Linked DNA regions of Oryzias latipes. The protein of the gene in region 1 interacts with the protein of each later gene in a biochemical or structural test. Links are inferred from orthologs where the notes say so. Each region holds a gene or a part of one and is shown on either strand. Other genes may lie near its edges.

Evidence for each region.
Region 2: the proteins of patj (region 1) and tanc1 interact in a test that uses a peptide from one of them, tested with the Homo sapiens proteins (2 studies listed by IntAct, with this or other methods). The link is inferred for Oryzias latipes from reciprocal best matches to the Homo sapiens genes PATJ and TANC1.
Region 3: the proteins of patj (region 1) and tight junction protein ZO-3 form a complex in vitro, tested with the Homo sapiens proteins (2 studies listed by BioGRID and IntAct, with this or other methods). The link is inferred for Oryzias latipes from reciprocal best matches to the Homo sapiens genes PATJ and TJP3.

What each region holds. Positions count from the first base shown.
Region 1 is NC_019862.2:6,373,944-6,377,789, reverse strand, and holds the end of patj (inaD-like protein), read right to left. Parts: intron 3,709-3,846; coding exon 3,602-3,708; intron 3,528-3,601; coding exon 3,404-3,527; intron 2,979-3,403; coding exon 2,832-2,978; 3' UTR 46-2,831; downstream 1-45.
Region 2 is NC_019879.2:20,913,910-20,917,511, forward strand, and holds the end of tanc1 (protein TANC1), read left to right. Parts: coding exon 1-1,267; 3' UTR 1,268-2,783; downstream 2,784-3,602. Other genes in the region: WD repeat, SAM and U-box domain-containing protein 1, read right to left, coding at 3,238-3,389. UniProt on the Homo sapiens protein: May be a scaffold component in the postsynaptic density.
Region 3 is NC_019862.2:27,012,028-27,015,873, reverse strand, and holds part of tight junction protein ZO-3, read left to right. Parts: exon of another isoform or gene 1-224; intron 225-322; coding exon 323-379; intron 380-800; coding exon 801-925; intron 926-1,034; coding exon 1,035-1,137; intron 1,138-1,223; coding exon 1,224-1,521; intron 1,522-1,627; coding exon 1,628-1,731; intron 1,732-1,828; coding exon 1,829-2,018; intron 2,019-2,108; coding exon 2,109-2,184; intron 2,185-2,267; coding exon 2,268-2,365; intron 2,366-2,542; coding exon 2,543-2,630; intron 2,631-3,026; coding exon 3,027-3,209; intron 3,210-3,300; coding exon 3,301-3,401; intron 3,402-3,846. UniProt on the Homo sapiens protein: TJP1, TJP2, and TJP3 are closely related scaffolding proteins that link tight junction (TJ) transmembrane proteins such as claudins, junctional adhesion molecules, and occludin to the actin cytoskeleton.

The DNA.
Region 1 (3,846 bases):
GAAAACAGAGAAGTAAACTTTAGAGACAGAAAACAATTCTTGAAATGTCATTTGTTCATTTTTTATTTAATGATTGAGCTAAACAAAGCTTGAATAAAAAAAAAAGTCTTAACAAAATACATTAATGACAAATTATTATGCATGTAAATAAAATCAAACCATGACATAAGTCTTTAATGTTCAAAAGGTCACATACAACGCAAGGCTTCTAAGCTCTCATTAGTAATTTTGATTATTTAAACATATTTGTCTATTACACAATAAGGAAAATAACATTAATTCCAAGTGAAGTTAAAAAAATAAATTATAATTTATTTACAAAAATAAGAGCAGTTTAGACAGTAATTACGTCAACATAAAGTATTAGCACATGATTGATATGTAGCATAATTGTGTATTTCTGCCATTTAGAATGCCACCAGCGGATAAACATTTATCTGCTAACACATTATTTATTTGAAATTGTTAAAATTACAACTGTATGTCTCTAAATTATCTTTAAATATGGAGCAGCATATCTTTGAAAGGGGACACTTGCTGGATGATCCATAAAGGCTGGCTAGCTATTCACCTAGATGGCTATTCAATTAACTAGGAAGGCTAAATCAAAGATTACATGATCAAAGAAGGTTTTTTGTGGTCATTAATAAAACAAATGTCGAAAATAACAGACAGCTTGACAGATTAACTGGTTATGTTGGTTTAAGGGCCACCGATTAAGCTAACAATAACTAGCTAATATTTAAGAACAAAGCTAACATGTTAGCAACATTGGAAAAAAAAACATAATTAAAAGTATCTAATTTTTCCCTGCATTTTGCCTCTAATAGCCTAAATATTAACTTTTGATTCAGCTGCTAAAAATAATTGTGTAACTGAAATTGAGAAAAGTTTAGAATAATAACATAATTTCAATTACAATTTCAAGACGTTTTTTTCAATTAGAGTCAATTTTGAATTCTGGGCAATCACAAACTGGTTTTTGATTTCATTGTTTCCTTTAAAAGTTACATTTGCTTCTTTGGATCTACTTTTTTTTTCTTTTAGAGAAAGCTGGTCAATCCTTAATCTATGCTAATTTTGAATCCTTCCATGTTGTGTCAACAGATCATCAGGATGAGAATGAATGAACGTGACTGAAACTAGGATATAGTTTCATATTTATATTTACATGCGCACACATCTCTGCGTTAACATTAGACTGTGGCCTCTTTTCATCTACAAAACATTTATTGTACAAAATAATTTCATTTTCCTCTCTATGACAACTATTATGGAAGACACCGTGTCTGTTGTTGGGGGGCAAGATTGGGTGTTCATGCTCACTAAGATTCATCTTCAAACCAAAAATGTTGTGGGACTGTTTAATGAAAGCCTTTAATCCTGCATCTGTGAGATTTACCTCTTACCTTTAAACACCGTTAAAACGGTCTTGTGCCATTTTCTTCAATACATTCTGCAAAGCTTCCTAAAGGACTAACGTCTTCAGGATAGTTTTTCCACATCCTGACAGTTAGAGCTCAAGAGGCTTTCCATGGAAACTAACTCCAAAGCAGTTTGTCAAAGAAAATAGGCAGCTGACGCTCTTCTGATGAATGTCAGGAAAACTAGCTGCTACTGATGGAATCAGAAGGTCATGAAGCTCCACGATCATCTCTTTTGTTTTATTTTTTCACAAAAATACATGGTTTCATTTCTGATATAAGAGCTAAACAGGTTGGATTATGCTCGAGTCCCTCTGACGTTCTAACTCCGATTTCCCAGCACAGAGCAGGACGTCATGGTTCCGCCCTCAATAACTAGACTTCTGCAACAATAGGTGTGCTGAACGGTGACAGAAGTCTTTAATCCAGAGCTCACAGTTTGGCTTCGGGATGATGGCACATTTCAAACATGTTTCTTATTGAATCTCAACCTTTTTTTTCTGTCCAAAAAGGCAAAAAAGCAAAACTAATTTTGGCATTTCCTTAAAACAAAACAAAAATTGTGTTTATATTGTTTTTTTGATCATTGCATTAAAGCAAACGTGCCAACGGGTTTGCTTTAAGAGATCAATGCAGATCTATTGATGCTTCTGCAGTGACAGATATGTCATAACTCCAGACAACAGCTTTACCATCAAAGCTGTGGATCAGAGCTACACAGGAAAACAGAAAGGAGTGATGGGATTTCAGACAAAATGCTTGGAAAGATCAGTTGGAGCTGATCCGCTTCATCCTTCTGCAGGTCTGGTATTGTATGATATTTCTAATTATCATTGTAAAAATGAACAAAGAAGAAGCCTGATTTTGGTGTTTAGGACTTTAGAGTTTGTGTCCCACTTAGCTGGATTCTGATGAAGAACCACTGAGCTAAAGAAGAGAAGGTTGTGAGATCAAACACCACTGTCTGGACAGATGAATGCATTGACGGTCCTCTCCGGGTTCAGTTCTGATCAGAGGACATCCCGCAGGAGAATAGTGCGTTGCATTAACTTTTTTGTTGGTGTCCAGACGTATATGTCCCAAAAGAAATAGACCAGAATTGAGGAGCTGCATGGATTGCTACGGTTTGGGACTTTTTGAAACAAAGGCCACCGAAAAAACCCAAAAGGAAGCAAACTGAGTTGACTTAAACGCTGAAGTTTTTAAAAGACACTGAAAATATAAAGCAACAGAACTGGAACCAGATCTGTGACTTTGGGAAATTCATAATGTTCTGGAAGAAACTAAGAACGTCTGACATCAGTGCGTGCTGGTCTGACCCTCCAATGTGTGTTTGAGTGGGAAAACACTGGGGAGAAGAAACTTGACATGCAGTTTGAAAGTGTTTGTGTGTGCATTCAGGTCACGTTATGACAGTATCTCCAGCGTGACGGTTCCTCTCTGTTTCTTCAGGATGGTCACTGCCTGCTCATGTGTCACACCCTGGAGGCTCTCACCGTTCACTGACAGGATCTGATCCCCCCGCTTTAGGCGCCCATCCACAGCCGCCGCCCCCTGAGACACACACCGTCATGAAAGTTTTGTGGCTTTAGCATCCAAAAACAGTTCATTAGTTAAATACTTTTAAAAATATGGCTGATAAACAAAACTGAATGGGAATGTCTCTGGGTCCCCCCAGAGGAGCTGGAGGAAGTGGCCGGGGAGAGGAAAGTCTGAGAATCTTTGTTTAGCCTGCTGCCCCCACGACCTGGCGCCGGGATAGGCGGAAGAAGATGGATGGATAAGTTTATTGTGGTGGCTTAGCTAGGTGGGTGGATGTAGCTAAGCCTAATTTGAGTCTATGGTCCTACCCAGTTGCCTACCTTAGAATTAAGTTCAGATGGATTGAACTAAGTCAGTATGGCTGACCTAGATTGGCGTTTCTTTTTGCTGTGACGTCATATACTATAAGCCAGTTGGTATAAGTCTATGTTGCTGACCTTGCTGAAAACTGTTTTCACATAGATGGGCAGGTCTCCATGGGGACTGCCGAAGCCTCCAACGATGCTAAAGCCAAGGCCATCAGAGCCTTTCTCCAGGGTGATGGTGTTGGGCTGCGGACCCCTGGGAGGGAAGAAGATAATTCAAGTTCACGATGGCACCAGCCCCCACCATACCATGTGTTTGTGGGTTCTCACTCAGACTCAGCTGCGTGGTGCGTTTCAGTGTCAGCAGATAAACTGGAGCCGCTGGTTAAACTCTCCACTTGAGAGGCGATGATGCTGATGTTTGTGTCGGCCACCACCTGAGACACAGACACACATGCGTACACAAACCCACAGAAAATCATTTGAGTACAATTTAAAAACAACATTTTAAAGCAAGCTAAAAAAAAGTCTAAAAAAACGACACTATACCTATTTAATAAGTATAGCCAACGACA
Region 2 (3,602 bases), on another chromosome or scaffold:
GGAGGAGGAGGAGGAGGAGGAGGGTGACGAGGAGGAAGAGGGAGTGTCCTTGAAACATGACAGAGCAGGTGAAGCCTGCTGGACCCACAGCAACTATTCCATAAACAGAGTCTTACCGTCTGACCCCCCAGCAGCCAGCAGCTGCCTCGGACATCAGACTCCCAGCTCGCCGCCTGGCCCCGGCAGGCTGCCGCCGCACCGGTTCCATCGGGAGCACCGGGAGCCCCTGGCCCAGCAGGCGCTGGTCCTGCAGCCCACCAAGCAGGCTCAGATAGTCAAAACCAATCAGCACATGGGGGCTGTAGGGGGGCGCTCCACAGGGACCAGATCTCAGTACGCTCCGTCCAGCCCTTTACCCAGCAGGCACATGTCCAACATGCTGAAGCCGGGCCCGGGCATCGACATCAGCCCTCTGTCGACTCCGGCTGAAGAGCCTGTGTACGGGACCCGTGCGCTGCCGGCGTCCGCCTCCCCCTCCGCGGGTCACGGCTGTGAAAACGAGAACCTGCTTCCGCCCCAAACCTACAACGGCTCCAAAGCTCTGGGGCAGGACAGGCTGTCGGTCCACTCCGCATCCTCTCTGGACGGGTCGGCCCTCTCTGGACTCACGGGGAACCCCTCTGACCCGGGGAAGGAGGGCCTGTGTGCGGCGGCAGCATCTCAGGGAGGAAACCTCAGCGGCATGCGGGTGTCCAGCTCCACCAGCAGCTTGGCCTCCAGCAGCAGCCTATCTGACAGCGGCAAGCTCGGACCCGACGTCCGCTCCAAGATCTCCGACAAAACCAAGCTCGGCAAGCAGGCCGGTTCTGCGGCAGAGTACAAACCCAGACCTTTTATGGGAATAACTGACAAGACTGCACGCTTTCAGCAGCAGCAGCAGCAGCAGGTCCAGCAGCACCACCACAGTCTGCAGAGCCACCCAAGCCTGCAGTCCACTGGTCGCAGCTGGCTGAGCCGCTCCTGTGACGGCCCGGTGTGTCAGAACATGTCCGCCGTGAGCCTGCAGCCGGCCGACTGCGAGTTCCCCTACAGCAGAGCAGGCGGCGTCTACCAGGAGCAGCACAAACACCCGCCGCCTCAGAGCGGCTTACAAAACGGCATGCACGCCAAGGAATTTGCAGAGAAGTTCTGCCAAGCAGCAAACTGTTTCCGAGAGTCCAAGCCGCCGCTGGCTGTGCCCAAGCAGCACGGGTTGGCCCGAGATAATCCTGCCCTTCACGTAGCTTCAATGAAACCAAAGCGATCATTCATAGAGTCGAATGTGTAAACCAGTCTGTCTCACCGGCCAAAACTACAAGTGGGACGCTGTCCGTTTCTATTCTGCCCGGGTCTTTAAAGAAACGACGATGCACCAGAAGTTTCCAATCTGTCGCTTCAGCCTCCTGTTACACGAAGACACGTCCAACGCCCCGCTGCCCAGCTGGAGCCATTGCACTGATCCGTGGGCGTGTGCTGATCAACAACACGGCGACAGCCGGGCCGAGCAAGTGCTGCAGCCTCGACCTCCAGAAAAGTCTGGTCCTTCACTCTTTGCTCATGGGGAGTCCTTCAGTTTAATCCAAGGAAACTTCAACAGGGTGTTCAGCTAATAAAACGTCTCCTTTTACATCCTATTTAGTTTCCTGAGAGACGAGGGGCCATGTTTTCATTTAAAGGAATTCATGCACATCATTAGAAAGCAAGAAATGAGAAGTTAGACTTAAATAAAAGCTACAAGGAATTTTTTTTTTTTCTGTTTGTTTTAGGATAAAATCAGTTGAAGTGAAAGTGCTATGTACTGAGCTACAGCTACGTAACAAGACGACTGCTCTAAAGGTGCTGAAAGACCTTCTTTTAGGACTTTTCAGTCCAAAAAGAGGCAGATGTCTTTCTCTGGGACCAGATGACGGATTCCTGGGATTTTTACGTTTTTTTGAGCAGTTTGGAAAAAGTGGTGAATCTGTGTCTCGCTCATGATTGCATCCAAACACGTTTTTATTCCAGTCTGGATGTTCATTTCCAAACTTTATGCTCATAAAGCAAAAAAAACGATTTTGCTGGCATTTAGAAGTTCTTCACTTTCCTACATTTTGCAGATTCTCCCAGGCAGGCAGCACAAACAAAAACAAACAAAGCAATGGATTCCATCGAAACACCATCATGTTCAAAAAGTGAAGGCTTTGTAAGAGTATTCAGAGAAGCGATTGTAAGGAATGGGCATTCCGGTGTTTTTAGGAAGGATGTAAAAATCCTCACGTGTAAAATATATAAATATGTTCCATTTCTTTTTCAGTGAAGGTCTATGTTTTGTGTATTGGCAAGTTCAGACGTGTGAATTTTGAGTTTTCGGCACAATGTTGTTGAAATGGTGTTCAAATGTTAGTTAAGTATATATTTGTACATTATATGAATCACCGTTAACACTGAATTCCTGCTTGTTGTTGCCGTCTAGTTTAATTTATTTACAGCGCCAATGGCTTTGGTTAATTGTAAAAGCAATATATTTTATATAGTTATTTTTGCACAGCTACTAAGACATTTTACGATTCTTATTATTGTTGAGAGCTCAGTGCATGCTTCAGTTGCAGTTTATATTGCAAAAAGATATATATCGATCTATAAAAAATGAGCGATGGATGGAGGGCAGAGTGCCGCCGGCGTCATTTTATGATGTACGTTAAACGCAATTGTTGCCATGTTTTCAGTATTGTGAGCTTTATTAGCCGTGATCACATACTGTAATTGAACATTACTGCCATTGACACCATGGGAGACTGAATAAAGGCCCACTGAGGAATATCCCACTCTTCTGTTTGGTTTCTTCCAAAACGCGTAAAGAGAAGGATGCAACACGAGTAAAACCATGTTGGTTAGTTTGGTGGCTGCAGAATAAGTGAATCCATCTGTTTCTTTGTTTATCACAAGTTCCCTATTTTTTTTATTTGTTAAGGCAAAAATAATCTTAGAAGAGCGAAAAATCAGCTGTTTTGTAGGCAGAGTGATCATCTGATATTTCAAAGTTTTAAATAAAACTTTATTTCACACAATGTAAGTAGTTTGGATGTTAGAATTAGTGCTTTTAAAACATCTTAAACTTTGCAGCAATGTGCCTTGCATTATACATTTTTCAAAATAAAAGCAGTATTTATAAGGCCAACTGGGCCTGAAATGCTCATAATTTTATGAGATGAGACGGAGTAGCATTTTCAAGAACAACAATTGATCATTTGGTTCCCAATGGCAACGATGAGCTCTCGTCTAATGGTCTGACTTCCAGTGTGTGATTGCCATCTTCAGGGATCTGTTGGGGGTGAGGAGCGTGGTCCTGAGGGGCAGGTTTGTCATGGGACTGGTTTTGTGCTTTCCTCGGATCCAGCTCTCTATGGACTCGCGCTCATAGGAGAACCCATCTGTGGAGTAGAAGGACACGTTTTGGTTCCAGAATTCCTGTGGTGAAGCTCTGATGCCAGATCGACTCTGGTCCGACTGCGATGTGTCTCCCTTGCGTTGTGAGGGGAGTCCGTCTCATGATTGTCCCCCCTGGGAGTGGTTTGTCCAGTCACGCCCACGTCGAAAAGTTTATCTAAAACTTTGGCCCCATGCCCTCTCCTTGGGATGGTGTT
Region 3 (3,846 bases), about 21 Mb from region 1:
TGAGTTCCAAAATTTTTTGACAAGTGGAAATGACTGTTTGTTTCCATAAATGGGTTTCCTGTTTGTAAAGTTATGTGTCACCCACACCTCAGATACTAGTTACACATACCAGTTAAGCCTTCCTCCATACCGGTCAGGTGAGGTAGAAACAGGTGTGAGCATGCTCAGACCAGGTTGACTTAAACAAACACTCACTGTTCGCCTCAGAATCAACTTTCATTCGAGTAAGGATCTGCGTTCGACAGCAGAACTGACACATTAGGTTGAAAAATTGTGTAATATTTGTTGTACCTAATAAGATGACTTTTGTGTTTCTTTCTAGAGACCCGGGATGGAAGAAATAACAATATGGGACCAGCAGACAATAACTCTGAACAAAGTAAGTGAATTTTCTGATCAGACTTTAATGAGGGATATGGCTAAAATAAGTGTTTAGATTACTTTTCATTCAATTCAATTCAGTTTTTGCCTAGTGTTTCCAACGGCAGCATTTGGGTAGTATACAGTGGCTATGCGGAAGGCGCCCTGGCTCAGGCAGTTTCCGTATCGTCTCTCAGGGCTTTGTGTGGCTCTTTCAGTGCTTCTGCTGCAGGTGCTTGGGTTTCGCAGCACAGACCCAAGCAGGAATTCAGAAGCGCCACACCCTGTTGTTGCACCGCGGCACCCTCCTGTCTTTGGAATGTGCTCTGTCTCCCTCTATCTCCCTCTGGCATCACCTGCTCACTCTTCTGCATTGTTCTTCTCCTCTGCTTCCTTTTTTGTCTCATTCATCTTTTTGGTTTTTTTTTTTTCAATCACAGGACCCCAAACTGGGTTTTGGTTTTGCCATATCAGGAGGGAGAGACAAACCTAACCCAGAAAATGGAGAAACTGCTGTGGTGGTGTCTGATGTTCTGCCAAATGGACCAGCCATGGGACGACTGTTGTGAGTTTACCATTCTTGGCCATTAGATAACCACTTCTATCGCTATAGACCCTAAGTAGCTCATGCTCACAGATTCACATTTTTATGAGAGTTTCCTTGATTTTTATAGTCATAAGGATCAAATTACCATGGTCAATGGCATACCTATGGACAACGTCCACTCAAACTTTACCATTCAAACTCTCAAAACATGCGGAAAGACGGCAAACATAGTAAGTATGGAAAAATGAATAACAAATTAAAGGAAAGAGGGAAACCATCAATCTACGCCAATTTATTTATTTATTTATTTTTGCAGACTGTGAAACGTTCTCGAAAAATACAAATCCCAGCAACCACAAAACCAAAGCGGGCAGTGTCCCAGTCCAACCTGCTGGATCAAGACTACCCCAGACGAACCCGCCGCTTCTCCGACAGCAGTGATCCCCGGGATGCAGATCGCTACCGTTCCAAACCCCGCAGCACGACACCTGACCGCAATGGCTATGGAAACAACTCGCCAACTCTGGTGTCCTCTAGCTACAAGAGGCTTCCAAAAAGCACTGCTTCAGACAAACCTATCAAAACCACTTTGATCAAAAAGAAAACCACAGATGGTAAAGAATAGCTTTAGTGTAACATTTATGTTCAAACTTGAACATCTCCTAATTTGTGTTTCTAACATGTTTTGTTTTCTTTCATTTATTCGAATTCTTTTTGCAGAATATGGACTCAAGTTGGGCAGCCAGATTTTTATAAAGCACATGACTGAAACTGGCCTAGCTGCAAGAGAAGGTTCCCTGCAGGAGGGAGACCTCATTCTCAAGGTGAAGAACTGCTACAGTAACGGTTGTGGACTTTTTTTTCCTATCGATGCTGCATTAAAAAGTCCTAATCCATCTGTCTTGATCTCTTAATGTGCAGATCAACGGCATGACAACAGAGAATCTATCTTTGCTGGAGACCAAGCACCTGGTGGAGAAGAGCAGGGGAAAGCTGACCATGATGGTCCTCAGAGATGACCGCAAGTTCCTGGTCAGCATCCCAGAAATAGACGACAGCCCCCACAACACGGGGGACGAGCGCCGCAGATATAGTAGCTCTGAACTGGAAGGTCAATACAATTTTCTTGGGTTTCATTTGAGAACCAAGAGTCTTAAAGCATCAGATAAAGAACTTACAGTATTTCATCCTGTCTTTGCAGAAATTTCAGACCTTGATGAAGACTTGATTCCTCGCAGAACAGCCCGTCAAACTGCTAAAGAGAAGCGGACACGCAGGTACAGACTTCCACCGTACTTTAAACAAGCCACGTCCAGTAGACGGCAAACTTTATTGACAAAAAACGTTATTTCTAATCCAGAACCAGAGCTGAGCCAATTCCTGTGGTGAAGTCTCGTGACTCCTCCCCGATGCGCTCCACCTTGGGACGGCCTGCAAAAAACTACGCCCCTCGCAGACGTCAGTCCTGCTGCAACCACTTTCTCTTCAAAATAAAAGACATCATCACTAACTGATGATGCTTTAATAGTACAGAGATATACATGAAAACTCTCTAAGCAGAAGAGTTTGTTTGTTTCTGACAGCAGTTATTGACAGAACCCTTCTAATGTTTCAAACCCCTCATTGTTTCTTCAGCTCCTTCTGACTCAGAGTCCGACCGCAGCGCCTCCCCTCTTCCCGTCAAAAGAGAGAGTCCTGAAATGAGGGATTCCAGCAAATATAAGTAAGTTCACCTTCATTCTTTGAACTGAGAACTTGTGTGTGAAGTGTATTTATTCCTTCTTGACCTGCAAGATAACCCCTGTATGGATAAAAGTCAGCTTCACGATTATTGAAGGTGATTTGACTAAAAGCATCTGTATTTAGCATTTTTTATGTATAATAAAAACAATATAAGTTGCAAAAATCATTTAACATAATAATTGATCATCTTCCTTTTTTTGCAGATGCTGTAGGGCGTTTTATTTTAAATAACAGTTTTATTCATCCTCATGCTCTTGCAAAAGTCTTTACAATCTGAGTTGATCATCTCTTATATTATCCTCGTCTACCATGCGAAGGAGCTTTGTGGAGGACCGTGGGACCTAAACTGTTGAACTATTGTTTTTGTTTTTTACAGACCTCTGTCGGGAATGTCCACCCTCCCCAACCCGCGGTCCTCCCCTATACATCAAAACTGGTCCTTGCCTAGCTCCTCCAACACCTCCACATTGCCCCGCAGACCTGTGTCGGATTCTGACTCGGATGGCAGTGGCACCCCCCCTCCACGCAGACAGACCCCCCATGTTGACAGCAGATACAAGTACTGATATTTCTATTGAATATGTATAGGATTCAGCCAGTGTTTCAGCTCAGATTGTTCCTGACTAGATGCTTTTTCCTCCCGTCTGCAGAGTCCTTCCTGATCTTCATGGCGCCCTGAAATCCTCTCCCATCCCTGTTCGCCAGGAGCCACTGAGGAGAGTTAGCTCTCCCCTGAGGATTCCACGACCAGGTTGGAAAAGCAAACATGCGTCATTACATTTCCTCGTAATTGTGCACGCCCAGTTCCTTCTAAAACATTTCCTCACCAATATTTACCTAATAAATGTGAATGCCTGATATGCAGGTGTACACAAAGAAAGATGAGGCCAGGGTGTAACAGGAAAGTTCTTCTTAAAGAAAGCCTTTCCCAAGAGCCATGGCATTCGTTTGCAACGATATGCTGATGACACACAGCTTTACATCGCTGTGTCTCCTGCTGACAGAGATGATCGTACATGTTATGGACTTTCAGAACAAGACATCGAGACTTATCGAGATTAGAGAGAAACCTTTAAAACTATACAATTATGAAATTTCTTCTTTCAGTGTTGAGTGTTCTGTTTGTCTCTGAGCTGAAAGTTTATTCCACATATTACAAATGAACAAAAACAGGATTCTGTCATGTTAAAACATTT